Elephas maximus indicus: one gene and its partners. The main gene of each other region encodes a partner of the protein of the gene in region 2 in a complex. Links are inferred from orthologs where the notes say so. Each region holds a gene or a part of one and is shown on either strand. Other genes may lie near its edges.

Evidence for each region.
Region 1: the proteins of PCNA (region 2) and POLD3 are in contact, whole or in part, in a crystal structure (PDB 1U76), measured with the Homo sapiens proteins. The link is inferred for Elephas maximus indicus from reciprocal best matches to the Homo sapiens genes PCNA and POLD3. Residues at the interface, in NP_002583.1 of Homo sapiens: Met40, His44, Val45, Ser46, Leu47, Glu124, Gln125, Leu126, Gly127, Ile128, Pro129, Thr206, Ala208, Asp232, Val233, Pro234, Tyr250, Ala252, Pro253, Lys254, Ile255, Glu256, Asp257; in NP_006582.1 of Homo sapiens: Ala453, Asn454, Arg455, Gln456, Val457, Ser458, Ile459, Thr460, Phe462, Phe463, Gln464, Arg465.
Region 3: the proteins of PCNA (region 2) and POLD4 are in contact, whole or in part, in a crystal structure (PDB 6HVO), measured with the Homo sapiens proteins. The link is inferred for Elephas maximus indicus from reciprocal best matches to the Homo sapiens genes PCNA and POLD4. Residues at the interface, in NP_002583.1 of Homo sapiens: Met40, Ser43, His44, Val45, Ser46, Leu47, Val123, Glu124, Gln125, Leu126, Gly127, Ile128, Pro129, Gln131, Tyr133, Asp232, Val233, Pro234, Tyr250, Leu251, Ala252, Pro253, Lys254, Ile255; in NP_066996.3 of Homo sapiens: Lys4, Arg5, Leu6, Ile7, Thr8, Ser10, Tyr11, Pro12, Val13, Val14, Lys15.
Region 4: PCNA (region 2) and MCM7 share a complex: the UniProt entries of both Homo sapiens proteins name them as parts of the replisome complex. The link is inferred for Elephas maximus indicus from reciprocal best matches to the Homo sapiens genes PCNA and MCM7.

The regions. Positions count from the first base shown.
Region 1 is NC_064825.1:47,903,916-47,911,858, reverse strand, and holds the start of POLD3 (DNA polymerase delta subunit 3), read left to right. Parts: upstream 1-4,932; 5' UTR 4,933-5,128; coding exon 5,129-5,188; intron 5,189-6,505; coding exon 6,506-6,561; intron 6,562-7,943. UniProt on the Homo sapiens protein: Accessory component of both the DNA polymerase delta complex and the DNA polymerase zeta complex.
Region 2 is NC_064843.1:43,716,060-43,722,924, reverse strand, and holds the start of PCNA (proliferating cell nuclear antigen), read left to right. Parts: upstream 1-3,859; 5' UTR 3,860-4,024; coding exon 4,025-4,245; intron 4,246-5,554; coding exon 5,555-5,652; intron 5,653-5,761; coding exon 5,762-5,829; intron 5,830-6,587; coding exon 6,588-6,782; intron 6,783-6,865. UniProt on the Homo sapiens protein: Auxiliary protein of DNA polymerase delta and epsilon, is involved in the control of eukaryotic DNA replication by increasing the polymerase's processibility during elongation of the leading strand.
Region 3 is NC_064825.1:130,392,289-130,399,173, reverse strand, and holds POLD4 (DNA polymerase delta subunit 4), read left to right. Parts: upstream 1-4,625; 5' UTR 4,626-4,814; coding exon 4,815-4,911; intron 4,912-5,092; coding exon 5,093-5,188; intron 5,189-5,379; coding exon 5,380-5,630; 3' UTR 5,631-5,847; coding exon of another isoform or gene 5,848-5,872; 3' UTR 5,873-6,379; downstream 6,380-6,885. UniProt on the Homo sapiens protein: As a component of the tetrameric DNA polymerase delta complex (Pol-delta4), plays a role in high fidelity genome replication and repair.
Region 4 is NC_064830.1:91,609,220-91,617,062, reverse strand, and holds the start of MCM7 (DNA replication licensing factor MCM7), read left to right. Parts: upstream 1-4,839; 5' UTR 4,840-4,841; coding exon 4,842-4,911; intron 4,912-5,272; exon of another isoform or gene 5,273-5,286; intron 5,287-5,570; coding exon 5,571-5,650; intron 5,651-6,012; coding exon 6,013-6,177; intron 6,178-6,353; coding exon 6,354-6,478; intron 6,479-6,551; coding exon 6,552-6,732; intron 6,733-7,029; coding exon 7,030-7,167; intron 7,168-7,484; coding exon 7,485-7,634; intron 7,635-7,836; coding exon 7,837-7,843. Other genes in the region: AP4M1 (AP-4 complex subunit mu-1), read right to left, coding at 57-281, 447-558, 689-739, 976-1,020, 1,322-1,416, 1,518-1,624, 1,976-2,029, 2,127-2,193 and 7 more. UniProt on the Homo sapiens protein: Acts as a component of the MCM2-7 complex (MCM complex) which is the replicative helicase essential for 'once per cell cycle' DNA replication initiation and elongation in eukaryotic cells.

The DNA of each region.
Region 1 (7,943 bases), on a different chromosome or scaffold from region 2:
GAACAATATTTAATTCAATTTCATCCATCCATCTATTCATTCAGCCATTCAGTCAACAGCCAACAAATATTTGCTAAGGGCCTACCTCTTGCCAGCTATGGCCACGCTGGATGCTGGAAATCCAGGGGTCAAAAGACCTTTGAAGAATTCTGATTCCATGGGAACTCAGGCTCTACTGCATGCCCTCCTATAGATCCAGGCCTGCAGTTTCTGAGGCAATCCTGACTACGGAAATTCTAGGCGGAAGAGACCCCAGAATGCCTGTCATACTTTTTTCTAACACCCACCACCACTTCCAACCCTGTTGCTTAGACAGATATTATAAACTTCATGACCACCCCCACCCCCACCCACTATTCATTTCCACAAAGTTAATTGGCCAGAGGTGTCTTCAGTTCCTCTTCTCACTCTTCATTCCTTAATTAACTCCAATCTGCCTTCTGTGCCTCTCACTTCTCTGGCTAAGGTCCCCAGAGGCCTCCCAATTCCAAATCCATTGTATTTCTCTCAATCCCTATCTAACACCATTTGGGGGAAGCATTTGACACTGTTGATAACTCCCTCCTTCATACTTACTTCTCCTTGTTTCCACACTGCACCTCCTACCCCTTCCTTCTCCTTCTCAGTTCCCTTTGTAGGCCTTTCCTCTTTAACTGCAGATGTTCCCTGGGATTCAATTTTCAACTCTATCCCTGGGTGATCTCATTGCCTCTCATGGCCTCAGTGACTGTCTATATGCTGTGGGTCTCCAATCTAAGTCTGTGCCTAAGCACAGACATATATCCCACAGCCTACTGAACATCTCTAGCTGGGTGAGTCCTATTCTTCTCTTATGACATGGTTTTGTAACTGTCTATTAACTTATTTGTCTCCAACCAGGGCCATATGTGTCTTGCACTCTATTGTTTTTCATAGAGAGAGAGAGAACACGTAGAAGGAACTCAATGAACAATTGAAGAATGAATGAATGAGGAACCTGTCCACTGGATGTTCAGTATTCTGAAAAAAGATACTGATAATCAGAGATAAAAAGATATGCTGAGCTAATCATGTTCATTAATTTAGGAATTACAAAATGGAGAATTGTTGAGAAAATCTAAAGTTACTGACAAGGCAAAAGCCAGAGGTAGAAGTTGAGATAAGCCATGGCAACCTACAGCTGTTTTAAATTAAAATTATGAGGACGTAGAATCTGTGGTTAAACCAAAGAAGAAAACTGAAAAGTCATAAGAGGGCAAAGCAACGGTACCAGGAGAGAGAGAGAAACGATGAGGCAAAGAGACCAGCCTGGCCCATCAAGACTGTGTCTGGAATGGCATCTGCCCCTTCTTTGCTCACTACTCAAGCTGAGCCTACGTAACATTTCGCCAGGAAATCTTCCTAACCAGCAGTGTTTGGAGGCCAGAGAGCAATGGTCTCTGAGGGTAGGATCATAAGCTTCTTTCTATCTCTGAGTGCCAGCCCCCATACTTATTAGATCCAGGAATGATTTACTTAAGAGAAAATTTTTCATAGCTGATTTTGTTATTTTTACTGTCACCATCATCATTCCAAAACACTCCCCCAGCCCCCAAGGAAAGAGAGAAAGGACAATAGTATACAAAGCAACTGCAAGATGGGGGTGGGGGTGGGGGTCCTCCTGGTCATTTTCTGAAAGTCTGAGTCAGCAAAGGTAGAAGTGTGAACTTCTGGGGATTGAGCTAATGAATCAGGAGGCTGAATGAAGTGTGAGTGTTTCTGGGGGTAGGATGGGGTAGCCATGGGTGTGAAACAGGGGAACCAGTGTCTGAGTGTTGTCTTGTCTTGGCTTATCCACTTTGTTTGGGTAACTGAAGGATTTTACACTGATTTTTATAGAACTGATAAGGTTTTAGAATAAGCACACCTGGAGGTTGGTGTGTCCTGGCCTTAGAGGAGGCTGTACATTCCACAAAACAGTCTATACAAGATACACATGTTCTCATAAAAGCGGAAAATACAGGCTTGTTGTGTGTTGTTTAAAACTATAACAATGACAATACTCAGAATACATTTCTTATTTTTGCCTAAAGTAAGCAGAGGGATTACATGGTGTCTAGCCCTGGATATCCAAGTCCAAAGCTTTCCCCATATTTCCTCTGATCCTCAGGCTGGGTTAGGTGCCTCCTCCAGGTTCCCATGGCACCCTGAGCTTCTTTAACACTGTATTGCTGTTGACCCTTCACAGAAACTGTAAACTTCCAGAGACAAAGACCATGATGTGTTCCCATTAGGCACATAGGGCCTGGTATGCACCAGCCCTTTAGTAATGTTTGTTGAATGAATGAATGATCAAATGACTAAATTCCTTGGTCAGTAAGTCCCGGGCCTCTGGAATGACCCTTGGATAGTTACGTGACCACTGAGTCATAAATCTTAATCTTGTACTCCCTGGTTTGGACCTGTTACCCTGCCTGGAATGCTACCTACCAGAGACCTATGGCAGCCCTAAAGCCCAGTTGGCTGATGAGAATCCTAGGTTGCTACAACAGATCCCCTTTTTCGGTCAGAGGCCTGGCCCCCTTCCCCTACCCTGAGTCTGGGGTTCTTGTCTGCATGTAGGTTGACCACTCTTCACCCCCACTCTGATATTGAGCCCTATCTATATTTCCCACCCCATGTCAGGATCATTAAGATTCTCCGGTGTCAATAATTTCTAGGATAAAGTGGGGATGGAGAGAAAGAAAGGGGAGGGCCAGGACACACCAACCTAAGGTTTCTAACACCAACCTTAGGTTCCTTTTTGAGACTTAGGTGCTATAGAGTCTTGATCCTATGGCTCCCACTGCTGGTATCACCTGACACTGGCATCCCCAACAGTTTTGTCTGGCCTCATTTGGTTAGCAGATACTTCGGTTGGTTGTTTTAGTTTCTGGAGAACTGCTTTTGTTCTCAATTCTGGGCACTGATGTCAAGTCTCATCCTTAAGGAATGTTAGGTTGTTGTTAGGTGCTGCCCAGTCAGTTCCAACTCATAGTGACCCTACACACAACAGAATGTGACACTGCCTGGTCCCATGCCATCCTCACATTGTTATGTTTGAGCCCGCTGTTGTAGCCACTGTGTCAATCCATCTCCTTGAGGGTCTTCCTCTTTTTTGCTGATCTTCCACTTTACCAAGCATGATTTTCTCCAGGGACTAGTCCCTCCCAATATCATGTCCAGGGTATGTGAGATGAAATCTCATCATCCTTACTTTTAAGGAACATTCTCACTGTAGTTTTTCCAAGATAGATTTGTTCATTCTTCTGATAGTCCATTGTATATTCAATATTTTTCACCAGCACCGTAATTCAAAGGCATCAATTCTTCTTTGGTCTTCTTTATTCACTGTCCAGCTTTCCCATGCATATGAGGCAAATGGAAACATCCTGGCTTGGGTCGGGTGTACCTTGGTCCTCAAAGTAACATCTTTGCTTTTTAACACTTTAAAGAGGTCTTTTGCAGCAGATTTGCCCAGTGTAATATGTCATTTGATGTTTTGACTACTGCTTCCATGGGCATCGAGTGTGGATCCAAGTAAAATGAATCTTTGACAACTTCAATATATGTTTATCATGATATGGCTTATTGGTCCAGTTGTGAGGATTTTCGTTTTTTTTACATTAAGGTGCAATCCATCCTGAAGGCTGTGGTCTTTGATCTTCATCAGTAAGTGCTTCAAGTTCTCTTCATTTTCAGCAAGAAAGGTTGTGTTATCTGCATATTGCAGGGTGTTAATGAGTCCTCCTCCAATCCTGATGCTGCATTCTTCTTTATATAGTCCAGCTTCTTGGACTATATGCCAAGCATACAGACTGAATAAGCATGGTGAAAGGATGCAACCCTGACACACACCCGTCTTGATTTTAAACCACGCAGTATCCCCTTGTTCTGTTTGAATGGCTTCCTCTTGGTCTATGTACAGGTTCCTCATGAGCCCAATTAAGTGTTCTGGAAGTCCTGTTCTTCTCAGTGTTATTCATAATTTGCTATGATCCACGTGGTTGAATGCCTTTGCATAGTCAACAAAACACAAGTAAACATCTTTCTGGTATTCTCTGCTTATAGCCAATATCCATATACCTTGTTTACTGGGACTGTAAATTTAAAAAGTGACTTTGATTCTGTAGGAAGGTACTGTGGGGTTGGGTGAGAGACAGATGCCAGCCATACCTAGAAGCAGAATGTTAGATGTGAAAAAAATGTGAAATTATTCACTACAAATTATCTGGTAAGCAAGGTAAGCACCAAGTTTACCTTTGTCTGTTTTTTTTTTTTTTTTTTTTTAATTGGACAATCTACCCCTGCCTCTACCGGAATCACTCCCCCTCTTTTATCCCATCTGGAAAACCTTTCCTAGTTTCTCAATTCTAAGGGATCATAACAGGCAGTACTTTATCGCAGCTGGCATCACTCTGTCCTAAAATTGTTTATTTCTCTGTATCTATTGTTCACTGTTGTTTCCTCAGTGCCTAAGAAGTGCCTAAAATACAATACCCAAACCCATTTTGCCATGGAGACTCACAGCTACCTTACAAAACAGGGTAGAACTGCCCCCATAGGGTTTCCAAGGCAGACTGCCACATCTTTCTCCCGCGGGAAGGCTGGTGCGTTCCAACCCGTCGACCTTTTGGTTAGCGGTCTAGCGTTTAACCACTGCGCCGCCAGGGGTCCTTTGAAATATAATAACCCAAAACCCAGTGCCGTATATAATACAAAAAAAGATAGGTACTTAGTAATAAATATTTGTTAAAAATTCATGAAAGGGCATGAATTGTTTCATCAATTTACCGGTGGAATGACTACGGCTCCTAAAAGTGAGATATTTCGCCCAAGGTCAATCACTAAACGGTAGTCGAGAGCCTGAAACCCAAGTTCGATATACACTCTCTCCCAGACCACGCCTCCTCTTCCGGTACCTCTCTTCCGCCGGGTCCGGCCCGCTTCCGGCGCGGTCTCCGGAACTAGTTTGACTCTCGGGCGGCCGCCGTAGTGCGTTTCCTCCGTTGCCGTGGGAAACGACCCCAGACCTGGAAGGGAGAGTGCAACGACGTTTCCCGCCGGCGGGAGTTGCGATTGTGGTGGCGTGAGGGCCTCCGCAGGCGGCGGGGCGCAGAGCTTCTGCGCTATGGCGGACCAGCTTTATCTGGAAAATATAGACGAATTCGTCATGGACCAAAACAAGATTGTGAGAAGCTAGGGCTGGAGAGTGCGGGCAGGGTACTGGGGTCCTGCGCTCGGCGAAGGCGGCCTGGGGCCTTGGTCCCCTCTGCTTGGGGCCTCGTGGGGTCTGGTTTAGGGAAGGCAGGGCCCCACAACTAGTGCCCCAGGGCTCGCGAAGGCTCGCGGGAGAGGCCGTTCGGCGCGCGCGCGCTAGTCGGAGCCCCTTCGGTGGGCGTGTGGGGACTGTGCACCGGGCAGGGGTCGCAGAGGGAGGGGCGTTGGCTAAGCACATTTTTCTAAGTCGCCCGTACACTTATCTTGCAAGGTGGTTGCCGTTTAAAGCCCCAGTTCTGCAGTTGAATAAATTGTGCCTTAACCGGCTTAGGTGACAAGCTTAACCAACAGCCGGTTTACTCCTCCTAAAAAGCTCGGTATTGATGTAGGCTTGGCCCTCCTCACAGCGTTGCTGGAAACGAACCATACGATGGATGTGAATGTACTTTGCAAACCACTGTTGCATGTGGAGTGTGAGTTAGGGCTCTTTGGATACACATTGCATGTAATCTTTACAGCGAGCCATTGAGAGGTCGTGATAGTATCCTTAAAAGACAGCATTGAGGCAGAGAGGCAAAATAAGGGGTAGTAAGTTTTCGAACCTAGATTTCTGCCGCCAGTGTTTTCTTCTTCATTACACTGCCTTTGTCTAACCTATGTAGGTCTTATAACTGTTGTAAGCTCAGCCATTTAGAATTGGAATAGACTTTGAGAAGAGAGTGACAGACATACTGAGTCAAGGAAGGGTGGAAGGAAGATCAAGGTTTGATGGCAGCCATTCCCCAATCTGACCTCTGATACAATATTCATCCACTTTATTAATTTATTCCCTGATCCCTACACCACCTATACCCTTTAGTGTTTGTAACCTGCAACTTTGTTTAGAAGTTACTGAGTCATACACTTCAAAGTAATCTAACTTCTAGATGAATTTTAGGATAGTTTTGGGTGGTGACCCCAGGATTTCACAGAATGTGAAGAAGGATCTTGGTAAAACTAGGAGTGTGGGGAGGAAAAGGAGTTTTTTCCTTCTGTATATATTCAGCCTTTTTAAAAAGCCTCTTTTGTGCTAATTAGTCTGTGCAACAAGCTTCTCAGTATTTGTAAGATAAATATCCCGATCCTTTCTGACCAAATGAATGGTTCTTGGCAAAACTAGGGTGTAAGCTATCATAATTTATAAGGCATAATCATCTGAAAACAGGACACTTTAAGAGCAGACCCTTGGGACTAATCTGTACTCTGGAGTCATCTAATAAAACGTTTTAAAAATTGCTCCTTTTTGCAGGTGACATACAAATGGCTGAGCTATACACTAGGAGTTCATGTTAACCAGGCCAAACAGTAAGTCCAATTTACTACTGATTTTAATACTTTGTAGTGTTTTGTTTTTAACTCTACAGGTAGCCTCTAGATTAGAGCTATTCCCCCCTCCCCACCCCAGGTGAATGGGAAAGGATACCATTTTTACCACCTTTTACTACTTTTGTTTATCTTAAGAGGTAGGTGAATTGGTACACAAATATATGGTGATAAATTTACTGGATTTATTTACAGTCTCTGGCTAGCATCACTTAATTATTTTGCATTTATTAAATGGGGCAATCGACTCTGTTTACATCTTAGATTTATATTGCCTCTTAGCTTACATTTCCATTACGTTTTCACGTAAGCTCTTTAGGCTCATCTCTGAATGCTATTGAAACACTTCTATAATGAGGTCAACAGGTGTTTGACACAAGCTGTGTAACAGTGTAAGGTGGGAGAATTATTTAAAAAAGGATGGTGCAGAGTATTTCCCTTCTTGAATTTTGACATGTCACCTTTCTTTGCTGAAATTTGTGGTCCAATTTGAGGCCAGAAGTGAAAAGGAAAGCTTTTGAATTAATTTTAACATTTTTTGACCTGAAAAGTGTACAGATTTTATCTGTGTTCCAAAGGGAGGAAATGATGAGGACATTATATATATATACTTATATATATATATATATATATGTATGTATGTATATATAAATACCCATTTAGTTTGTTTTGTTCCTAAGGGTGACCTGGTTTTTCTCTGTAGGAACCTTCTTAGAGTCATAGGAATAATTTGTAAGTCTTAGGAAACTGCTGCTCCCTAGAATAGGCTGTTTTGGCTTTGTTTGGGTTGCTATTTGACAGGCCTAGGAGTCTGATTTTGACTGTGATTTCATGCCCTTGAGACCTGAAACTCTTGGCCCAGGGATGGATTTGTACTGGTTTTGACTGTCTGAGATTGTTGTTGCTAAGACCAGTTCTGGCCCAAACCCAAGAGGTTCAGGTAGCTGTGGGAATGGATATCTTTTAGAGTTATTGTTCATTGCAGTTATGCGTGTTCAAATATGAAATAAGGTAGCTGTTCTAGGGTTGTTGAGTTAACAACGCATGACTGAAGACTGGCGTTCCCGGAAGGTGAAATCAAGTTGCCTGCAATCTTACGGTAGCTGCCATGATTATCTGTAATTTTTATAGCATTATCACATTGTCTATCCCCTGCCTCTCTACTCAACTTCATCCCATATCACTCTCTGCCTCACTTGTACTTTAGCCATATTTGCCTTTCTGTCCCTCAGATATGCCAGGCTCATTCTCACTCTAGGATCTTTGCACTGTTCCCTTTACCTGGAATGCTCTTCTCCCAGCTGTCCCCATCTTTTCAGATTTCAGCTCAAATTTCACTTATTACTTCCTCTAACAAGTCCTCC
Region 2 (6,865 bases):
CACATATTTTGGTTGTTATTACTGTTATTGCAAAATTGTATATTATAGCATTTACTGAAATTATCTCTTTTTCTTGTATACTTCTTAGTGTTTTCATTTATACTGGTCAAGCTGTGCAGACTTCATGCATATTGGGTATTGTCTCTCCCATCGCCAAAAATAACAAGTGTCTAATATCTAGAAAGTGATTCCCTCTCCTTCCCCCCTCCTGCCCCTGGTAACCGTCAAAAAATGTTGCTTTCTGTGTGTATATCTATTCTTGACTTTTCATAATAGTGGGACCATCCGATATTTGTCATTTTGTGATTGACTTATTTCACTCAGCATAGTGTCCTCCAGGTTCAGGCATGTTATGTTTTGTGGACTCCTCATTATTCTTTATTGTTGCATAGTATTCCATTGTATGTATTTACCACAATTTGTTTATCCATTCATCCGTTGATGGGCACTTAGGTTGTTTCCATCTTTTACTATTGTGTATAACGCAGTAATCGACATAGGTGTGCCTATGTCTATTGAGGGGCAGTCTTTTGAAAAATGCTTCATCATCACCACCCTTGACCATACAGAATATATTAAACGGAAAAACAACAGTACAGACAGTTTCTGGATTATGAACAAGATCCGTTCCTACATCTGTCTTTAAGTCAAATTTGTAGGTAAGTTAGAACAGGTACATACCATTCTTGTTTAGCATCAGTTAGTCAAATTTTTGTCATAGTAAACAGTATATATTTTACCTTTCTATGTTTTTTTTTATGTGTATAAAGAAAACCCTGGTGGCGTAGTGGTTAAGTGTTACGACTGCTAACCAGAAGGTTGGCAGTTTAGATCTGCCAGGCGCTCCTTGGAAGCCCTGAGGTAGTTCTACTCTGTCCTATAGGGTTACTATGAGTCAGAATTGACTCAAAGGCAATGGGTTTGTTTTGTTTTATGTATATAAAATACTTAAGAAACAGTTCCAAATACACTAAAACATCTTAAACATTATAATTCTGATAGTAATACAGTAATAATAGAAGTAACTACATACGGTACTACAGTGAAGAGAGAATCTGTGTGTGTGTATGTGTACAGGTATACGGTACTGTAAAAAAATAAGAACAAACAGTTCTTACAAGAGTTTAGATAGAAAAAAGATCATGATAAAAGGTTAATACTCTCATTCCATCAATGTCTTGCATACCGGAAGGGGCATTCACAAGGTAACATTATGATAACGTTAATAATTGGATGATGCAGGAAAAGATGATGGAGAAATGGCTACTGTTGAAGAGGGTAGGCCTGGTGTTGGAAAGGACGGGCCTGGTGCTGGAGAGTCAGGGTTTCACTCTGCACCTGGAGGGTGGAGGTTTACTACTAGAGACAACTTCTTGAAGTAGACATCAAGGGTGGTTTGTATATAGCTTTTCTTTTTCTCGTCATAAATGGCCTTGTGGCAGTTGAGGCCCTAGGTAACTGTATGGTAAACTTTGGTGAACCTCTCTGTATTAGGATCTTGCTCCTCTGACCTTGCCATCCCTGCTTCGATGAGATGAAAGGCTTCAGCTAACTCTTTTGTGAAAAACTTTTCCGGTTTTGGAGTTTTTAGGTCCTGGTCTTCTTCCTCAGAGGTTAACATCTGCTGCTGTGGTACATTTTGTCCCTCTTTTGAAATTAGGTCCTTTCAGGCATTTTTTTCCAAAACAAGCCAGTCTTGTCTACATTAAATATTTGGTCTGGCAAATAACTTCCCTCCTCAATAATTTTTTCAAATGTTTCAGGAAAATCACTCACAGTACTTACATCGGCACACACTGCTTCACCTTGCACCTTAATGTTATGTAAATTTGCCCTCAGTTTGAAATAATGGAACCAAACCAAACCCATTGTGTCAAGTCAATTCTGACTCATGGGACTCTAGAATCAAACCCTACTCACCAGGAGTTCTTCATCACAATCACCTTCACATGCTGCTCGTGCAGCTTTCAAATCATTAAAAAAACCTTTGAGCCTTTTTAGGCACTAAAATAAGGCTAATAGGCATATTACGCTCATTTTGATCATCTCACCAAATTATCAACAGTAATTTGTTGTAATTGTAGCTTTCATTGGGGAAGACAGAGCCTTTCGCGTGCTCCATCAGTCTCACTTTAGCCTTTAAAATTGTTCCCATCGTTGACCGACTGTAGCCTAACGCTTTTCCAGCGACCAATGGCATTTCAGCTCTTTCCAATCGCTTTATTATTTCCACTTCATTTTCAGTTGTGATGGTTTACCTTTTCTTTGATGCATCCCCAGCACTTGTATTGGTTTTACACTTTGGAAGCATGGTAACAAGGGTAAATTAAGAAGAAAATTTAAGCCATAATATCAAGTTACACGCTCAACAGTGTAGGCAACGTGCTCTTTCTCCTTCCTCCAGCCCCCATCGGCTCAGCCCAGCAATGTTTTCCTGAGCATCACAAAGTAGTACATGTGTTCATTATTATGAACCATTGTATATAACTCAAATTTTTAATACAATAGGCTTTATGGCAGTCTGTTCTTAACTACTAGTCTATAAATTGACATTCTTAATTCTGGGACTTATTGTATCAACAACTAAATGGGAAAATTCTGACAGTGGAAAGAAGTTATCCATGCCCTAACTAATTTATTTTGCTTATAGTTTCTTTGTTATGTATGCACAAAGTTGATAATATGAATAAAATGTTTTTGAAAGTCTAAAAGCTCTTTCAATAATTAGAAAGTAGAACTTCTAAGTGATAAAGCTTGTATGATAGTTTGACAGCATTTCTTTTCCTTTCTTGTACTGCATAAAATAACAGTACATCTAACAACTGAAAAAAATAACTGAGGGTATCTTAAATTCAGTAAAATAGATATGTCTAATAGAAATGCCAGACGAAGAGAACAGAGTAGGGAAAGGCAATGTTTAAAGCCATTATGGATGAGAAGATTTTAGACTTGATGACCGCGACGAATCTTCTGACTCTGGAAGCACAAAATATCCTCAACAAGATAAATAAATCGAAATCCACCCCTAGATACGTGGTAGAAAAACTGAAGAACGCTATATACCAGGATAAAACTTAAAAGCAACTTAAGAGAAAGGCCATAAGCAAAACAACAAAGAACAAACCAGGAGGAAAATACACAAGAAAAAAAAGTCTAGTACATAATTGAGAATTTATTTGCCCTTGCTATGCGTGGAAAGGTGGTTTAAGAGATGTGCCGGGGAACTGAAATAACTTTTTTTTTTAAACGTAAGGTTGTACACTTATATCGCTTGACCCTTAGGAGCACGTCACTTCTATAAGGTGGCGCAGTGGTTAAAAGCTCGGCTGCTAACCAAAAGGTTGGTAGCTCGAATCCACTAGCCGCTCCCTCTAAACCTTGAGGCAGTTCTACTCGGTCCTATAGAGTCGCTATGAGTCAGAACTGTCTTGACGGCAATAGGTTTAGGTGTTTTTTTTTTGATACACTCTTCCGACTACAAGTCAGCTCTTCCTTCCTTGTAGGCGAGATTTGGGTTTCGCTTTCACTTTCTTGGCTGGTAACTTTCCACCCTGAAGCGGGAAGCTGAGGAGACACGGCGACTCTCTAGTGACCACAAATCTGGGGCTTCACGACCCCCAGCCCAGGCCTGGGAGCCCCTGACGCCCCAACTCAACCCGCGCCTAGGGTCAGAATCACCGAAAAACCAAGGGGAAACACGTCGCCCCGCCCCCTGCCGAGGCGCGGGATGCTGTCCCCGCCCCCTGGCCTGCACCTCCAATAAACGCCCAGGTGGGCGGGCCTCTCAGGGAGCAGGGAAACGATTGGCCCTGGAGTCGCTCCACCTGACGGTGGGCGGGGCAGCGTGGTGACGTCTCGGCGCGGGGCGCAGGGGCGGAGAGTGCGCGCTCTCTGACTCGGCGGTATTAAACGGTTGCAGCGCCGGCGGGTTGGTTGTGGTCCTCCTAGGTTTCAAGCTTCCGGAGGTCGCTCTGATCGTCCTACATCCACCCGCCTGTAGCCGTGTCGCTGTGACTCCGCCACCATGTTCGAGGCGCGCTTGGTCCAGGGCTCCATCCTGAAGAAGGTGCTGGAGGCGCTCAAGGACCTCATCAACGAGGCCTGCTGGGACATCAGCTCGAGCGGAGTGAACCTGCAGAGTATGGACTCGTCCCACGTCTCCTTGGTGCAGCTCACCCTGCGCTCCGAGGGCTTCGACACCTACCGCTGTGACCGCAACTTGGCCATGGGCGTGAATCTCACCAGGTGAGCCGAGGGGTGGTGAGGAGCCGGGCCTTCGCCCCCTCCTCCCCGGACCCTTGGCGGGAGTCTCTGAGCCGGGCCCTGACTGGCTGGCGTGGGTCGTCCTCGCCCTCTCATTGGCCGGCGGCGCCGGGGGGCGGGGCGCGGCGGGGCGCGCGGTTCGGGAAAGCCCGCGCGGAGGGCCGCGGGAACCGGGTGTTTCCGCGCCAAAGTCACAAAGCTGGGTGGTGGCGGGAAAATGACCGGCTTCTCTGCGATGCCGGGAAAAGGCTGTTCCCGAGCTCCCTGCTCGTTAAATGCTGGCCGTCTTGGCTAGGAAACGTTGGTCGTGGTCGACTTTTAACCACCCTGTAGCGCGCCCTACTGAGAATGTATCTCTCTGTTACCCCGATGATTCCTGGTCCTTTATTGTTTAATAAGGCCGTAGTAAGCATCTTAAGATGCTGGGTTTGTGGAAAAATTTCTCCAGGGCAGTTGCTTTCAACTTCATTGAACGCTACCCACCGGAAGACATTTTATGCTGCTGTAGTACTTGGAAGGAGCCCCGGTGGCGCAGTGGTTAAAGTGATTGACTGCTAACTGAAAGGTCTGCTTCTGTAGAGATTTATAGCCTTGAAAACCCTATGGCTTCGCTGAGTCGGCATCACTCGATGCCAGTGGGTGGGTTATAGTACTTAGAGTCCTGGTGGTGCAGTGGTTAAGCGCTCGGCTGCCAACCAAAGTCGGTGGTTGGAACCCACCAGCCGCTCTGAGGGAGAAAGATACGGCAGTCTGCTTCCGTAAAGATTACAGCTTTGGAAACCCTGTCGGGACAGTTCCACTCCCTTGTGGGGTCGCTGTACGTCAGAATCGACTCCATGGCAATGGATCTCTTGTTTGGGTATCTAGTACTTAACGTATATTCACATTTTTAAAATAAAAGCTTGTGAGAAATATTTACCATACTACATGCGGTGCGTACATCTAACAGGTTTATTAGATAATTTTTCCTGATCGTTATGGCCCACTAACTTCAGCACTAATTAAAGGGGTTTGCAATTAGAAAATACTGCTTATTTACGTATACGAAGAAATGGAATTGCTGGTCATAGGGTGTGTGCGGTTTTAATTCAGTTATGTTTAGATACTGCCAGATTGCACTCCAAAATGGCTGGACCAGTTTACATATTCTCCACTAGTTTGTTTGTTCTCCCAATTCATCAGACAACCTAACGGGTGAAAATGGTAATTCCTTATTTATTTTAATTACATTAGAAATCTTACCCTTTTGAGAAGATGGTATTGGTTTTAAACCCTGTGTCTTGTTTTCTAGCATGTCCAAAATACTAAAATGTGCTGGCAATGAAGATATCATTACACTAAGGGCTGAAGATAATGCGGATACCTTGGCACTCGTATTTGAAGCGCCAAGTAAGTCATACTCTTTACTGAATTATGCCAGAGAAAATTAAAAGGCAGTGTTATACTTACAAGCTTGGATGCTTTTCAACAATGTTTGTTGGTTTTTGTTTTTTGGTAGACCAAGAAAAAGTTTCAGACTATGAAATGAAGCTAATGGATTTAGACGTTGAACAACTTGGAATTCCAGTGAGTATCCAAGTTTCTGATTGTTGAGTAGACCATACACATGCTAATTACACAAGCGTTAGTGTAATCAACATTAGTTGTAATCAACATTAGTTGTAATCAACTTACATAGTCAAAGTCTACTTATCCACAGAACTTTTTCTAGAAATATTTCTGCTGTGCATATTCCAAAGTGGGCTTAGTATCTGGACTGACATATCATTTTATTAAACCACAGTAGTCTAAAATCTTTAGCAGAAATCATTGCTGCCAAGCATGCATGTTCAAATTAATCTGCGTGCATCTCTGTTGTTTTAAATTCTCTAATGCTTGGTTTTTATTAAGAGTGGATTTTAAAGTTGTGTGAACAGAAATTGGTTAGGGTTTATCAACATCTGAGGAGAGAAAAAAGGAGTTTTGGTGTTTAAAATGCTTAGTACCATATTCTCTTATTTTCTTGCAGAAGGAATTAGGTATGGTTTCTATGCCATACCCTAACGTCCTCTTGATTTAGCCCGGATGGATGATTAGCTAGCAGGAGGCTCTTGTCCGTGGATAGTGCATTTACTGTTAAAGGTTTATGCTCTGATGTTTCTTAATACAAATATTCTGATAGCATATTTGGTTTACATCTGCATTTATTTTTTTGAGTGGTTGGAGTATATTATGGAATTACACAGTGATATTTTAGAGAAAATTTGTTTAGATGTTGCCTCTTAAGTGAAAGTGCCAAGTTTTTAATTTTGAGCAATTAACCTTTAAATTTGTTTGTTTTATAGGAACAGGAGTATAGCTGTGTAGTAAAGATGCCTTCTGGTGAATTTGCACGTATATGCCGAGATCTAAGTCATATTGGAGATGCTGTTGTCATTTCCTGTGCAAAAGATGGAGTGAAATTTTCTGCAAGTGGAGAACTTGGGAATGGAAACATTAAATTGTCACAAACAAGTAATGTCGATAAGGAGGAAGAGGCTGTAAGTAGTTTTTAATAAAAAATATATTTTGAAGAAAATTGTAATACTGCTTAATATTAGGTTAGTTGCTGAAATTAAGGAAA
Region 3 (6,885 bases), on a different chromosome or scaffold from region 2:
GATAAGGGTGCTCCAGGGGGAGGGAGGGGACGGCCGGAGGGAGGGCCGCAGAGGAGAGTGCCACTTGAGAGGGCATTTCTGAGTTTTCATTCGAAGTCTCCCCCAGACAGCTCCCTAATGAGCTGTTGGGGGTATGAACCCTCCTTTGAGTTCTGCCACTGTGTCCCCTGGGCCTTCTGTGAAGATGCTAGCTCTTTGGCACAGGTCTGCTGGCCAGGGATGGCTCATCAGTCTTTTCTGTGAGTGAGTTTGTCCTTAGTTCTCTGTCCACAGCTGTCTTAGGAGATGCAGTGAGGGGCCGAGTGAGCTTCCCTTGGTTATCTGAGGTTCCACCACACAAGTATGGCCTTACAGTCAGGGGCCCAGGTATCCTAAGAACCTTGGCTACCTGGTACCCTGCAGAGTCCTGGGGGATGTTATCTCTAGAAGTCTATGTTCCCAGGAAGGCTTGGGAGAATGGCGCGAGGGAGAGCCGGCCCTCCTCACTGTCCTCTCCAGATGCCATGCACTGGGGATTAGTTGCACTATCATCTAGGGAGCCCAGAAGTGCACCTGTGCTCAAGAGGATGAACAAGATGGGGGTTGGTTCCCTGAGGGCAGTAGCTCTGCTGGGGTGGGGTAGGAGTGGATATGGAAGAGGGTTCGGTGATGGTGGGAACAAGGTTTGCTGGCACTTGGCCCAACACCCAGGACTCAGGGATCTCCTCGGTATGTGAGGGGATTAATTCAAGCATTCATTTTACACACACACACACACACACACTCTCTCTCTCTCTCATCTACCCCAAATGGGGAAGAGCAAAGCAAGGTGTCTGTTCCCCTTAACCTAGAGGGCAAGGGCAGTGATTCAGGCCCCCGAGCACTCCAACAGGCGGCCCCCTCTCAGCCCCCCTTCTTCTCTGGAGCCACAACTGTCCCTGCCTTTGTCCCTTCAGTCCTTGAGTTCCCTGACTCAGTCTGGGTCCCCCCTTTACGAGCAGTGGACAAAGCCCTTGTCAGTGGGGTGGGGCGGCAATGGAGGGACTGTGAGAAAACTTCAGGTCCAGCCCTTTCTCAGTCACAACTATTGTTGGGTCCCTCAGCCTCGCCAGGTCAGAGGTCACCCCTAGGCCCCTCTCCAACTATATCTGATCTCCAAGACCTGGCTGATGGGGTGGAAACAGTTAAGGAGGACCTTCCTTCCAGCTAGACCAAGTCTGACACCTGGTGGCCAAGGTGAAGAATGGCCAGAAGGGCCCCAGGACTTCTCCAGAGCAGGATGGTCAAGGTAAACCGGGAGGGGACTGGAGGAGGTATGGAGGGTGGTAGTTGGTATGGGACAGAATAGACATCCTGTGGCAGAGAGACCCTGAGGAACCTTTACCTCGAGCAGGCTCCCACTGGCCCTTAAGCCCACTCGACTCGGAGGAGGGGTGTCTGGGAGTGCAGTGAGGAACTAGGAGGAACTGCCAGGAAGAATGCTGGCCCACAGGGCGAGGAATGGGGCCTCAGGCATGTGAGTATGTTGGGGGCTGAGATATCAGTCTGGCTGCCCAGAATCCCCTGAGCTCAGAGTGGGTGGCAGGGCCTGGGGGCCTGAGCAGGGGCTGCTGCGGGAGAGGGAAGAGCAGGGTACGCCCCACAGCCTCTGGGCCACAGGCAGCTGCTTTCTTCCCTCACCTGCCCCCACCTTCCCAGCTCTACCTGGAGTTGCCCACAAGCCCCATCGTGAGCTGGGGGCAGGGAGGGAGCTTACCAGGCGCAGGCGCAGTGCTGAGCTCCCCCTCCTGTCCTGCCACATTGTCTGAGCTAAGTCAGGCCTAATCCCCTTCCCCTCAGAGCAGCCAGCCGCAGGATTCGGCTCTCAGGAAGGTACTGGGCCCCTTCACGCTCCAGCTCTTTTCTCTCCTGGGCTCCCCTTGAGGGTTCCCAGCCGAGAATCAGCGGTCACTCCCGTCAGTCCCATCACCAGCCTCTGGGTGTCAGGGTGAGCCAAGGAACCTGAGCTTGAGTCTCAGGACATGCCTCAAAAGAGAGAGAACTTAGTCCTCAACTCAGACCTCAGCTGGCCCTTCAGCCTGAAGCTGCCACTGTGAGAAGCCCCAGGCCAGCAGTTTCGGGGATGGGCCTAGGACGCTGCCTGGTTAGGACAGGAATTCAGGCAGGTAGGTGATATGAGGCAGACAGGTAGGGGGCAAGGAGGAAAAGACGGAGGTGGCAGCTGAGGGCTGGCCTAGTTGCCAGCGCACCTTGGGGTCCAGATGCCGAGTCAGGGAGTAGGCCCAAGGGACAAGGATGACTCCAGTCATGAGTACACCTTGCCTCGGGGCTATCCCACTGATTGATGGAGCAAGGCCAAGGGACAAGGATGGCTCTGGTCCTGGGTGCCCCCTCCCCTTGTGGCTTATCCTGCTGTCTGATGGGAGGAGAGGCCGCTGCTGCCTGTGGAGAGTTCCCTCACTCTGGCCAGAAAGCCGGGCCTCAGAGTCCTGTGCTCAAGCTGACCACTCTGATTCTCATTCTTGTGGCTGGGGGGCGGGGGTGAAACCCAAGGGAGACATCTTCTGGCTGGGTGCAACAGGCCGGCAGGGTCTGAGCCAGGCAGAGCTGGAGGCTGCTGGCAGGGACAGCCCAGACAATGCCCACAGAGCAGGCTAGAGAGCCAGAGGCTGCAGACGGAGAGGAAGGCATAGGCCCAGGCTGCAGGAGGAGTCGCTGTGGCTGCCCAGCGGCACACCCCATTTCACGCTCCCTGGGCGGTGGCAGGGCCCCACGGCTATCAGCTTTCAGGGGTGGGAGGGATCAGGAATGAGGAGGGGTCTGCCCCACCCATGGCTCCCTACTCCCTCAGGGCTTTGTGGACTCAGGAGGTGGGTGGTGGCAACAGCTGGGACCCTGCGTGCAAGTGTACCTCTGGGAGCAGTCCAGGAGGTTCTTTCTGAGGCCCCCAAGAAGGGGTGGCCAGTCCCCCAGAGCCTAGCACTGTCCCTCCACAGGGCACTCAATGCGCAGCTGGACACAACACCTGAGCCCTTCCCAGCCCCGTGGAATGGGCTTCCCTGCTCCCGCCCCAACTCTGCCGGGCCCCTGTCTCCCTGGATGTGGGCCCCACTTAGTCCATGAGGCAGATGGGGGGATTAGATGGCCCAGCCCAGACAATAAAGGAGGGAAGGGCCTCCACCCCGGTGCAGTGCACCCACAGTGCTCACTCCCCGCTCAGCCCCCCTTAGGGAAGCTGATGGGGAGCCAGGAAGGAGGAGGCCCCTGAAGGATGGCCTGCTCCTCCCCCCCCCTTTCTGGTGTTCCCTCCAGAGCATTCACTTCTCCTACTTCTACAAAGACCACTGGCCACAGGTCCCCCAGGGCCCAGCTCTCTTCCTAACACAGTGCACCCAGAACCCAGAGCCTGGGAAAGCAGAACCAGAGTCCTCTGAGCTGGCCTCACCCTCCAGCCCTTTCTGGGGAGTGGAAAGAAGGGCCCATGGGATCCCCCCAGGGTGATTAGAGCTGTGCTGGGCCTGCTGCAAATTCCCAGACTCCCACTGGTTAGCACTTTCACCCGCTGCCAGGAAGTTGGTGAGGGGGAGGCGGGAGTAGGGGTGAGTCAGCGATGACAGGAGACCGAGGGACAAAGGTCATGGGTGGAGAATTGGGAGACACTGTTTACAGCAGCTCGCATCCTCCAGGAGGTCTTCGGATGCTAGCCCAGCCCTGGATTCTACAGTCTCTGACACTCCTTTTCTCCTCCTTTTTTTGTCTGTTAGGAATCATATCCTGGCCTTGATGATTTGCATGCTTTGATCGCCCTGACGGCCTGTGAGCTCCTGGAGGGCATGAAGGCCCGTGGTTAACAGCAGTGACCATAACGTATCCACACTTCCTACTTTGGAAAACATTCTTACATCTATTTAATTAATACGTGGGAAAGTGCTTGGAATGGGACTTGGCACATTGTTAGGACTGTTGTATTTTCTGCTCGCTTCCTCACCTGACTGCGAGAGACGTGGCAGCTTTCCCCAATGAAGGCCTGGGGACCCAGGCAAGTTAGGAGAGGACTAGCACCTCAGCTCTGCCTCCTGCGCAGTATGCCATTGTCCTGACTAGTGGGGCGGGCGGGCTGGGGGCCCCAGGAGGGCTGACAAGACAGGCGCTGGACTGGACTGAGGGTGGGCAGTCTCTGGGTTCAGACTGTGAGAAAGGAGCTCCAGAACCCGCGGGCTCTTCCAGCCAGGTCTCCTGGGCCCATGGGAACGGGGTGGGAGCAGAGAAGGGGCTGGATTAGCGCGGACTCTCCTCGGACCTCCAGAACTGCCCCCACAACGCGCCTGGGCCAAGAGGCCGGGCGGAAGCCTCGCGTGGGGCTCTGGGGAGTTACAAAACGGCCACGGGGATTACTGAGGCTGAAAAGATTTGCCTAGGAAGGACAAACGGGAAGTGAGAGGCCGAGGATAACGCTCCGCAAGTCCCTGGAGACCCCGCTGCGGACAAGCGGGGACAAGGGGGGCAGGCCGAGGTGGGGAAGTCTGGGGCATCTGACAGTTCCTTTGGCCCAGCCAACGTGCCCCCTCCCGCGCCGCCCGCCATTGGCTGGAGCCAGGGCTCCGCCCTGCAGAGGCGGCCTGCCATTGGCTCAGGCTTTTCCTGTTTGCGTGCCTGTGGGGGTGGTGAGGGGCGTCATCCCTGGAACCTGCCGGACTTCCTCCCTCCGCTCGTCTGGGTCACCGTGTCTGCCCGTCGCTGGCCGCTTCTCCCTCTCCGCAGCTGTCTCTCTCGCCCTGGCCTGTCTCGCCCCTTCCCCGCAGTCGCCTCCTTCTCCGCCTGCCTGGGTGGCCGCCATGGGCCGGAAGCGGCTCATCACTGACTCCTACCCCGTAGTGAAGAGGCGGGAGGGGCCCGCCGGGCACAGCAAGGGGGAGCTAGCACCCGAGCCAGGTCTCTGAGGTGTGGGGCGGCGGAGGAGGGGGAACGGGAGGGAGGGAGGGTGTAGAGTGTGGTCCACTCCCCACTCCCGGTCTGGCTGCAGGATGGCGGGGGCAACGGGCTGGAGAGGCCTGGGGCAGCAGATGGCCGGGAGGCAGGGGCGGCCTGGCCTGAGTACGGTTTCGCCTTGCAGGCGAGGAGCCCCAGTCCCCCAGCGGGGATGTGGACGAAGAGGAGCTGGAGCTGCTGAGGCAGTTTGATCTGGCCTGGCAGTACGGGCCCTGCACAGGTGAGCACCCACTCAGGCCCCTCGAGGGGCCCTCCTGAGCCAGCCCTGAAGCCACCCGAGCCATGCCTGCCTCTCTGGGGCACTGCTTCCTGGGACTAGGGTGTGAGGCTCTGGACACACCCCAACACACATTCTCTAGCCCTGACTCTCCCCTGCCCCGTGAAGTCCCTGTGTCTTCTTCCCATTGGCAGGGATCACACGGCTGCAGCGCTGGCATCGGGCAGAACAGTTGGGCTTGGACCCTCCCCCAAAGGTGCATCAGGTGCTACAGACCCACCCCGGAGACCCCCGCTTCCAATGCAGGTCAGAGACAGGTGGTGGGGGACACCCAAGGGAGCCAGGACCTTCTCCAGGCCCACTGCCCTGTTGGCCTGGGTGGGGCTGCCTGGCCTCAGGAGAAGGGGATGCAGGCCAAGGGACAGGACCCTCCAGTTGTTGCTGAGCATACAAGAAGGCCCTGAGGTCGTGGCTCAGGAGGGCAAAAGGTTGAGCTGATGCTGGGGGAAAGGGTACACCCAGGGCCCAAGGACTGTTTAGGACTGAGGGGCTGGTCAAGGGCAATAGCCAACGGTCAAGGACTGGAACTGGTAAGGTCAGATCACCAAGGGACTTAACTGACTCTCTCTTCAATTCCCCTCCCTCCCACGCACCTTGCCCAGCCTCTGGCATCTCTATCCCCTTTGAGGCACCGCCTGCTCAGGACCGCCCGCCCAGGACCTCCTGCCCTTGGCAATCCTGCAGCCATGGAGAACTTTGGGACAGATGGAAGAGGCAGTTGCTGCCCTCGGCTCAGCGCTGCTGTGGAGGAACTTGTGGCAGGAAAAGCCTCACGGGGAAGGCAACATGCTGAACCTGGAGGTCTCCACGGCCCAGCCCCTCCATGTAACCATCAGGCTCCAGGAGCCCCCCTCAGAGACTATGCAGAAGAAGCTGCACCTCTCCTAGATGGAGACTGGTCTGTCTGGACAAGGACCTGGCCATGACCCTCCTGAGCCTGCCACATGTCACCCTAAACACTAGGGCTCCTGGGGACAGTGTGGCAAATTAGGCACAGCCTTGGCGGAAGCAGACTTGGGCGGCTGAGGCAAAGATGCACTTCCTGATAAGGTTGGCATCTAAGGGCAGAGACTGGCTGAGTTCACAGGGCAAGGAGTTCACTAATGCTTATCAATAAAGAACCTGGAATCCTGACCTCCAGTCCCTTAATGTGACCTTGCTTTGGCTGGCAGTTCCCAGCAAGTGGGTAGGTGAGAGCAGGCCCATACCAGGCCTCCTCTTTTTCTCCAAGTCTCCTGGGTGCCTATACCTCTATGCTGCCGAAGCCCCAGGGCTTAGAGGGAAGGAAGAGTGCTTTAGGAGACATGGTCCAAGCCAGAGCTAAGCAGCCTCTGGCACCCCCTAGTGGTGCATAGGGAAAGTACTCTTCTTTAGTCATTTCATTGACCAGCCAGGGGAAACCTGACTTGTGAACTACCTAGCCCTGCCCAGTGTTGCCCACTCCAGAGGTAGGTAGCTCCTTTGACAGAGAAAGATCCATGGACCCATGGCTCACACGTCCAGACAGATCTACACATTCCCAGCATGCACCTCTGCTTCCCACGTTGGGGCCTACCTGGATCCAAAGCAGGGGTGGGGGAGGGTCTCAACCTGCAGGACCTGCTCAGAGGTGGCCACCATCTGAGGGGGCTATGGTAAGA
Region 4 (7,843 bases), on a different chromosome or scaffold from region 2:
GCTGGAAAAGCAGACATCATCATTTTCCTGTTGACAGTGTCCTCATTTGGGGACACTCAGATCCGAATGACATAGGCATCGCTGTGGCTTAGGTGTCGCACCCACTTGTGGGGGTTGGCGTTGCCGCAGGGTCTGAATGCAAGCCTGAGGAAGCGAACCTGGAGGCCGGAGCATGTGTGCCGGGGAAGTTCAAAGGAGAGGCTTGCAGGGCCCAGCCCTAGTGGAGGGGCTGAGGTGGAGGGCCCATGGCCAGCAGGCCCAGAGAGGCTGGGGACATCCATCTGTGAGGAACAGGGGTGGGAAGAGGGGTGCTGAAGGGTTGGAGAGGAAAGAGGGCAAGGACCCCAAGAGGCCAGATAGGAACAGTGCCATTAGGAGGGATATGCCAGAGGCTGAAAATGAAGGTTCTTTGGGGGGAGGGCGTTCAGAGAATCAACAACTGATACCTGGAAAAGGCCTGACAGCTGAGAGCCTCCTTGTACCCGAGGTAGGTCCCAGTGAAGGGCTCCTTCCCCCAGCTCTGCCTTCTGATCTGGGCTGCTCAGCTCCTGAGAGAGGCTGGTGAGGAAAGGTGCTGAGCTCAGCCCCCACCTTCCTGGGGGGTGAGCCAGTTGTACTTCAAAGCTCATGCTCTCTACTCCCCCTGTTCTTCAGGGAAGCAGGGGAAACCACCCACACGCACACTAACCTGACCACCCCTCGTGGCAGGGGAAGGTACAGCCTGATGTTGAGAGCTTGGCTGCAAAGAAGAAATGAACCAAGTCAGCCCCAGAAAGGTACAGTCACTTGTCCCCATCGTTCTTTAATGTCACAACCGGAGTACAACACAGGTGCTACCATCCCCTTCCCAAACTAGGGGACTCTATGTTAAAAGGGATTCTGAGGCTGATGGGTGCATATGAAAAGGCAGGAGATATTTTGACCCTGTGTCCTATTCACATAGCTGAACTAGGCCTGGCCAGACCCAACTCTTACCTCTTTGGAGGTAGATCACATCGTAACTTCAGATAAACCTGGAGCCTGGATGAAAGGGTAAAACACCTTTACCGAGAACATGTCCTACTGGCATCTCACCATTCCCCACCCAGACCTCCATGCATGGCTGTGTAATTGTGCCCCAGGGAGAGAGAAGGTGCTGAAATCCAGCCCAACTCCAGCAGCCAAGCCTCTCATGGGGCTGAGTCCACATGGAGGAAAGTGTGCCTTTTTCTAATTCTCAATCTATTATCACTACCACTGCCACTCCTCCACAGTAAGTCCTGGGAACACATATGTATCGGCTTGGGTTCCAGAGAAGTTCTACAACAGGGAATGATCTCACCTGCCTGAACCTCGGTCCCACTGCACAGAGGGAAAGAGCCGGAAAGGGAGAGGGGAGGGGAGGTCATCTGAGAGTTGGTACCGCATTACAGTCAGCTGAAACCAGAGAGAAGCAGAGGTTGGTTCAGTCTCCTCACACCTGAACTGCCTCCTTTTCCGACAGTAGACAGACTATACTGGGCCACCCCTATCCTGACCTCTCCTTGAGGTGGCTGCAAGCGGAGGATTCGATGAGACTCAAACTCGTCCAGATGCACAGAGCTGTGAAATGAGACCTCATCAACCCGAATTCCTGGCCCATAACCTGCAAAGAGAGAAAGACCCCTCTCTTAAGACATACTTTGAGAAGGAAGAGCAGGGAGAGGGGGAGGATGTCTTTAATACACTTAAATGCCCTTCCCCTATTCTAAGATGATCCAGTTTTCTCTATGAAATCTTGGCAATGCCTACACCTAGGAGGGAGCCCTGGTGGCACGGTGGTTAAGAGCTCGGCTGCTAACTAAAAGGTCAGCAGTTCGAATCCACCAGCCGCTCCTCGGAAACCCCATGGGACAGTTCTACTCCGTCCTATAGGTTCACTATGAGTCTGAATCGACCCAACGGCAACAAAAAAAAATTTTTTTAAATACCTGTGAGAGAAAGGCTTTCTCCTTACCTCTCAGTTCTGACTTCCCCACACAAAATTCCTCTGTCAAACCAATGCGCATCTCTGTTAGAAAAAAACGTCAGAAAACTTAACAACGCCATACGTACCACCAAGGAGCCTGTCCCTACCCAACCCTGGGGCCAGCCTGTGGCCTTCTCACCAGAGCCGCTGGGCAGAAAGCTCTTGAGTCGGATCTCTCCCTGCACATCCACCTTCAATAGTGAGCCCTGAGAGTGACAGGGAAGTTAATACCCAGAATTTTGTCCACCCCAGCGTGTTTCCCATATACCATCTGTCCTCAGCTCCAGGGCTAGGGATCCAAACTTACATTAGATGCTATCAGTACAGACAATCTCTCGACCACATCCAAAAAAACTTCATTCTTTTGATTCTGAGGAAGAGAGGGGATTTGGGTGGTTGGAGGCCGAATGGCCTGTATTCTAAAACGGGTAGGCTGAAAGGATCGCATAGTTGAGGCTAGGGCCCTGGGGTGGGGACATGGGGGTGAGGGAAGGAATACTCAGCTCTAGGGGTAGTGGAAAGAAACACCTGGATCTTTGACTCTGGAGTCCAGAAAAAAACTGGGAGAGTCTGCCACTGTCAATTCTTTCCTCACCTGGTCAGAGTGACTGGAGAGGATGGGGCGGCTGGCTGCGCTGCTGGGGGCCACTTTGCTCTGTTGTGTCTCAGCCCCGAACTGTAAAACACCCAAAGCAATCAATCCTTCTCGGTTACTCCTAGCCAACCCTCCTTCTCTTTCCTCATTTTTTATACCCCCTCCACTGACCAAGCCAACACTGCTGAGGTCAAAGAGGCTGAAGGGCTTGCTGACCACAGCTTCCGTCTGGATGAAGTTCCTCAGCATCTCCATGGATGTGGTCTGTACGTAGCCATAGTCCTATTGGTGATGGAAGGAGGATCGCTGGGTGGTCAGTAGGGAGAAGGGGTGAAAAGGAGCAGGAGTACTTAGCTTCCCAACAATAGGATCCCACGTAGAGGAGTGGATATGTCAGGGGAACAGGGACAAATGAGGGATATCCTTGAGCTTACCAACACTTCATCCAGTAGTTCATAGACAAGAGCTACATTGCGGGAGATGGTCCCCTCGCTCAGGGAGCCACAGTAATCACCCAGGAGGGTGGCTAACCTGAGGCAAAAGAAAGAGGTGTGTATATTCTCCTTCTCTCAGATCCCCACTCCCAGATGCCCAGCCCAGCCCTCCTCACCGGGAGAGCAGCTCTAGGAGGCTGAAGGGAGAAATGTTTTCTGAAGTCGTGGCCACCAAATAGAGGCCGCTGTGTCTGATATGAATAAAATGACGGCCATCGTGGTGCTGAGAGGCAGAGGCAGGAAAAGAGCTAGTGGTTAAGACCTAAGTTCACATCCTAGCTTCCTTAATAGCAGTGCAATTTCAGGTGAACTTGAAACCATCCTAAGTCCCAGCATCCTAAGATGCAAACGGGGTTAATAAAGAGTGCCTACCCCAGAGTTCTGAGAATTGAGGGACAAGGAACTGTGCGTGGTATATTGTTAGCACCTAATGAACTTTGATTAATATTATTTGGGAGAATGTTCTCACCAAATGGAGGCTCTCAGGGAACAGCCCCGGGGACTAGGAGGCGCCCACCTGTCCCCGCCATCTCCTACCCCCCCCATTGCGGGGTGGTTACCATGACAACCGGGGACTCGTCTCCGGGCAGTCCCGTCAGCTTCCGGTAGAAGAGCTCGGCCACATCCCGGCCACCACTGTCCCCGCGGACTGACCGGGTGGAAGGACAGTTAAGAAGCTGGCGATACACCCTGTCTCTGGGGCACCACTCCCACCAAGTCGCTCCACCCCCGCCCCGCATGTCAAGGATACAGTCTTTGTAGATGAGCGGGTCCCCCTTCGAGGACAGAATGAAGAACTGGGAAATCATGGTCGTTCTGGAGAGGAGACAAGACTGCGAGACCTCGGCCTGCCCCGCCCTGCGGCTCTGGAACAAAAGGACGCGCGTGGGCTGGGCCTTTAAGAGCGACTCTCCTCCGCCCCCGCCGGCTGGGACCGCGGGAAACCGGGCGCCCGCCCCGCCTCGCCCGGACTTCTCCACCCGACCCCCCCGCCTCCTCCGTGCCACTCTGCCCAGGCTAGGCCGGTGATTGGCCCAAGCGGGGGGCGGCTGGGGCCTGCCGCGAGTGGGAAGGGCGACAGGCCTTCCTTTCCAATTGGCCCGCACGGAGTGGCGCCGCTCACGTGGGGGGCTACGTTTCGCGCCAATTTCAGTTGCTCGAGCGCAGTCAGCCGCGCGGACGTTCTTTGCTATTCGCGGCGCGAGTCTCCTCGGCCCGCCAACTGCTGCCGCGCGCCCCTTGGCAGGGATGGCACTTAAGGACTACGCGCTCGAGAAAGGTAAGGGTCTGCAAGCCCGGGAGGGGCGTTCTGCACGGGAAGCCTCCAGGCCAACAGCTGGTGATGTAGGCTGGGAACGTGGAGGGCCGGGGTCGGCGGGCTCTGGGGCGTGTGAGGCCAGGGGTACGGTCGGGAGACGGCGAGGCTGAGGCAGACGGTCTGGGAGGCGCACAGGAGCACCGGGGTCGAAGGAAGACAGATAACCCTGTCCAGGAAAGCTCGGGGTCCTGGTGGGGGTAAGGGGCGGAGAGCCCGGCTGGAGGCTCCACAGGGAAGGTCACGCCCAGACGAGACCGAGACCTCAGGTGACCCTGTTTGAGGGGCTTTTCGGCCTTAGGGATGGGGACCCCCGGTTCGCTTCCCGCCCCGCTTTGGGCACTCTCGAATTCCCGCGTCCTACGGGAGGCGCGCCGAAGCCCCAGGGGCGGGAAGGCCAGAGCCGCTGCGCGCCCGGATTGGCTGTCGTGGGCCAACCTCGCAGCGGAAATGAAGACAGGGCGGAAGTTGCGCGACTGGCTGGAGGGAGCGTCGTGTGTAAACAGTGTTCTTCCGCGCGGTAGCCTCGGAGGGAGCGACCTGGGGTGGGGCGTGCCTGGAATTGGGGAATTTCGCGGGAGGCAGAGAGAAGAGGCAGTAGTGTGGAACGGCGTGGCCCTTGGCGTGCTGGCCAATCGCCGACGGGCTCCCGCCTCGGGCGGAGGAATCCCGGGCTGTGAGGCGGCTGGATTCGGGGCCCATGTGCTTCTTTGTTTACTAAGAGCGGAAGCAGTGGCGGGGAGAGGGAGTGGGCTGGGAGACGGGCCTAGTGGCAAGAGATCCCGAGGAGAACAGCAATTTATGAGACCGAGAGAAGAAAGGAGATCATATGGGTGGAAGAAAAGCTGAGCACCGACAGGCCTGTGTTGCGAGTGTGGGAGGCCACTGGGGAAAGGTACTGGGAGTTTTAATTACGGCAGAGACTGGAATTTCCCTGCGAGGAGGGTGTCGGGTAATACTCTTAGCTGCCAGGACCACTTAGTCTTTTTTGGTTAAAAACAGACTTGTGAAAAGGAGTTTTGCCCGGTTTGGGGAGTTTTGTAGTTATTTAGGTACTTGCCTAATTAGCGCACAGATTGTTTTAAATGAAAGCGGGTTTCTTAGATTTCCATCAAAGGGATTTTTAGTTAGGTATCTGAAAGAAGGGGTTTTTCTCACGATTTTACATTTATTTTGTAGAAAAGGCTAAGAAGTTCCTACAAGAGTTTTACCACGACGAGGAATCTGGCAAGAAGCTGTTTAAGTATGGGAACCAGTTGGTAAGTTTTAAGATTAGATGGAGGGAATGGGGTAGTTGCTTAAGGGGCTCTAAAAGGTGGCCTGGCTTGTTTCAGCAAGTAAATCTGTCTGTAAATGACACGTTTAGCATGGCACCTAATGCACGATGAGTGTAAAAGTACACTCGTAATAATACTAATAATAATAAAATAATACTAAAATGTCTTAGGAGGTGGGAGGTTGTCTTTGGGGGCAGAGGAGTGAGTATTGCTGTCTCACATTGTTCTTTCTCCCTGTACATGCCCCGAGACTGCTGAGCTCACAGTGATGGCTTTTCATGTGTGAACATTGGTGAACAAGGTGAACTTGGCTCTGAAGTGTTGCTGTCTCTTCCCCACCCCAGGTTCAGCTGGCTCATCGGGAACAAGTGGCACTGTATGTGGACCTGGATGATATAGCGGAGGATGACCCTGAGTTGGTGGACTCGATTTGTGAGAACGCTAAGCGTTATGCGAGGCTTTTTGCTGATGCCGTACAAGAGCTGCTGCCTCAGTACAAGGAGAGGGAGGTGAGTGGTTGGAGGAAAAGGCAGGCCAGTAGACTTAGGTCTTTGCTGAGAAGCTTCTCAGGTGTTTTTGAACTGGCAGGAAAGTGATGGCGGTGACTTCTGTTTGGGGCCCTTTATGCTGCCTTCCTTCTCTGTCCTGCTGCTCATTTTCCTTGTTTTTGTCGGTCCTACTGTAGGTGGTAAATAAAGATGTCTTGGATGTTTACATTGAGCATCGGCTGATGATGGAACAGCGGGGCCGGGACCCTGCAGCTGCCCGCAGCCCCCAGAACCAGTATCCTCCTGAACTCATGCGCAGATTGTGAGTGGCCTCTGGGGAAGAATGTGGCAATTTGTTTAGTAGAACCCTGCTAATAACCATTTTCTCCTTTTAGTGAGTTGTACTTCCAGGGCCCAAGCAGCAGCAAGCCTCGTGTGATCCGGGAAGTACGGGCTGACTCGGTGGGGAAGTTGGTAACTGTGCGTGGGATCGTTACTCGTGTCTCTGAAGTCAAACCCAGGATGGTGGTGGCCACCTACACTTGTGATCAGTGCGGGGCAGAGACCTACCAGCCGGTAAGCATGGAGCGTGGAACACGAAGGCGGTTAACTCTGTTAATGGTTTTTGTAAGAACTATATTTGTTCACTGATGTTTGTTATTTTTTATTTATTACGACACACTTGTGTGCTTAGTTTCCATTCTTATTGGGATATGTAGTGGTTTTGCCATTTGTTTGGTTATATTGGTATCTGTCGCTGTTGATCCAGAAGGGTTAAAAATGTTCTAGACAGTTCCATGATGAGTCAGGTGACTGACGGTAAAGGGGTTTTTATGTTTGATTGTTTTTATTGTTTCTTTTCTCACACCCTAGATTCAGTCTCCAACTTTCATGCCTCTGATCATGTGCCCAAGCCAAGAGTGCCAAACCAACCGCTCCGGAGGGCGGCTGTATCTGCAGACACGTGGCTCCAAATTCATCAAATTCCAAGAGATGAAGATGCAGGAGCATGTGAGTTTGGTGTATGTGCCCTGGGTGGGTGAAAAGGGAGTCTGCTCAAACCCTGGGGTTACTTGCGGAGTGGGAGAAAGAATGAAAGCAGAAAGAGCTGAGGCAAGAGAAGTCACCTAGAGCAGAAAAGAAATTTAACCTCAGCTGAAACTTTCTGATTGAGTGAGGAAAAGGTAAAGGGGGTCTCTTTTGCTCCTCCTAGGGGCTTGTCTGGAGCTGGCTAGGCTGAGAAGCAGAAGAATGGGATGTCTAGGGAGGTGAGGTTTGATCCCGTGGGCTTACATTCTTTTCTTTTTATATGCTCTTCTCTCCCTTAGAGTGACCAAGTTCCTGTGGGAAATATCCCCCGAAGCATCACAGTGTTGGTTGAAGGAGAGAACACAAGGATTGCCCAGCCTGGAGACCACATCAGTGTCACTGGTATATTTCTGCCAATCCTGCGTACTGGGTTCCGACAGGTGGTACAGGTAAGAAAGGGTGTTTCAAATGAGGAAATATTTCTTTTTCTCTTCCTCTCACTCATTGTCTTCACCTCTAGCCCCGAGGAAAATTACTAACAGCAAAATACCAAACAAAATATATAAAGGGCTTTGTTGGAAATCATTAGGGGATCAGGTGAGTGGGACAGGTAAAGGGGTTTCATCCATACCCAGCATTTTCTTGCCATAGGGCTTAC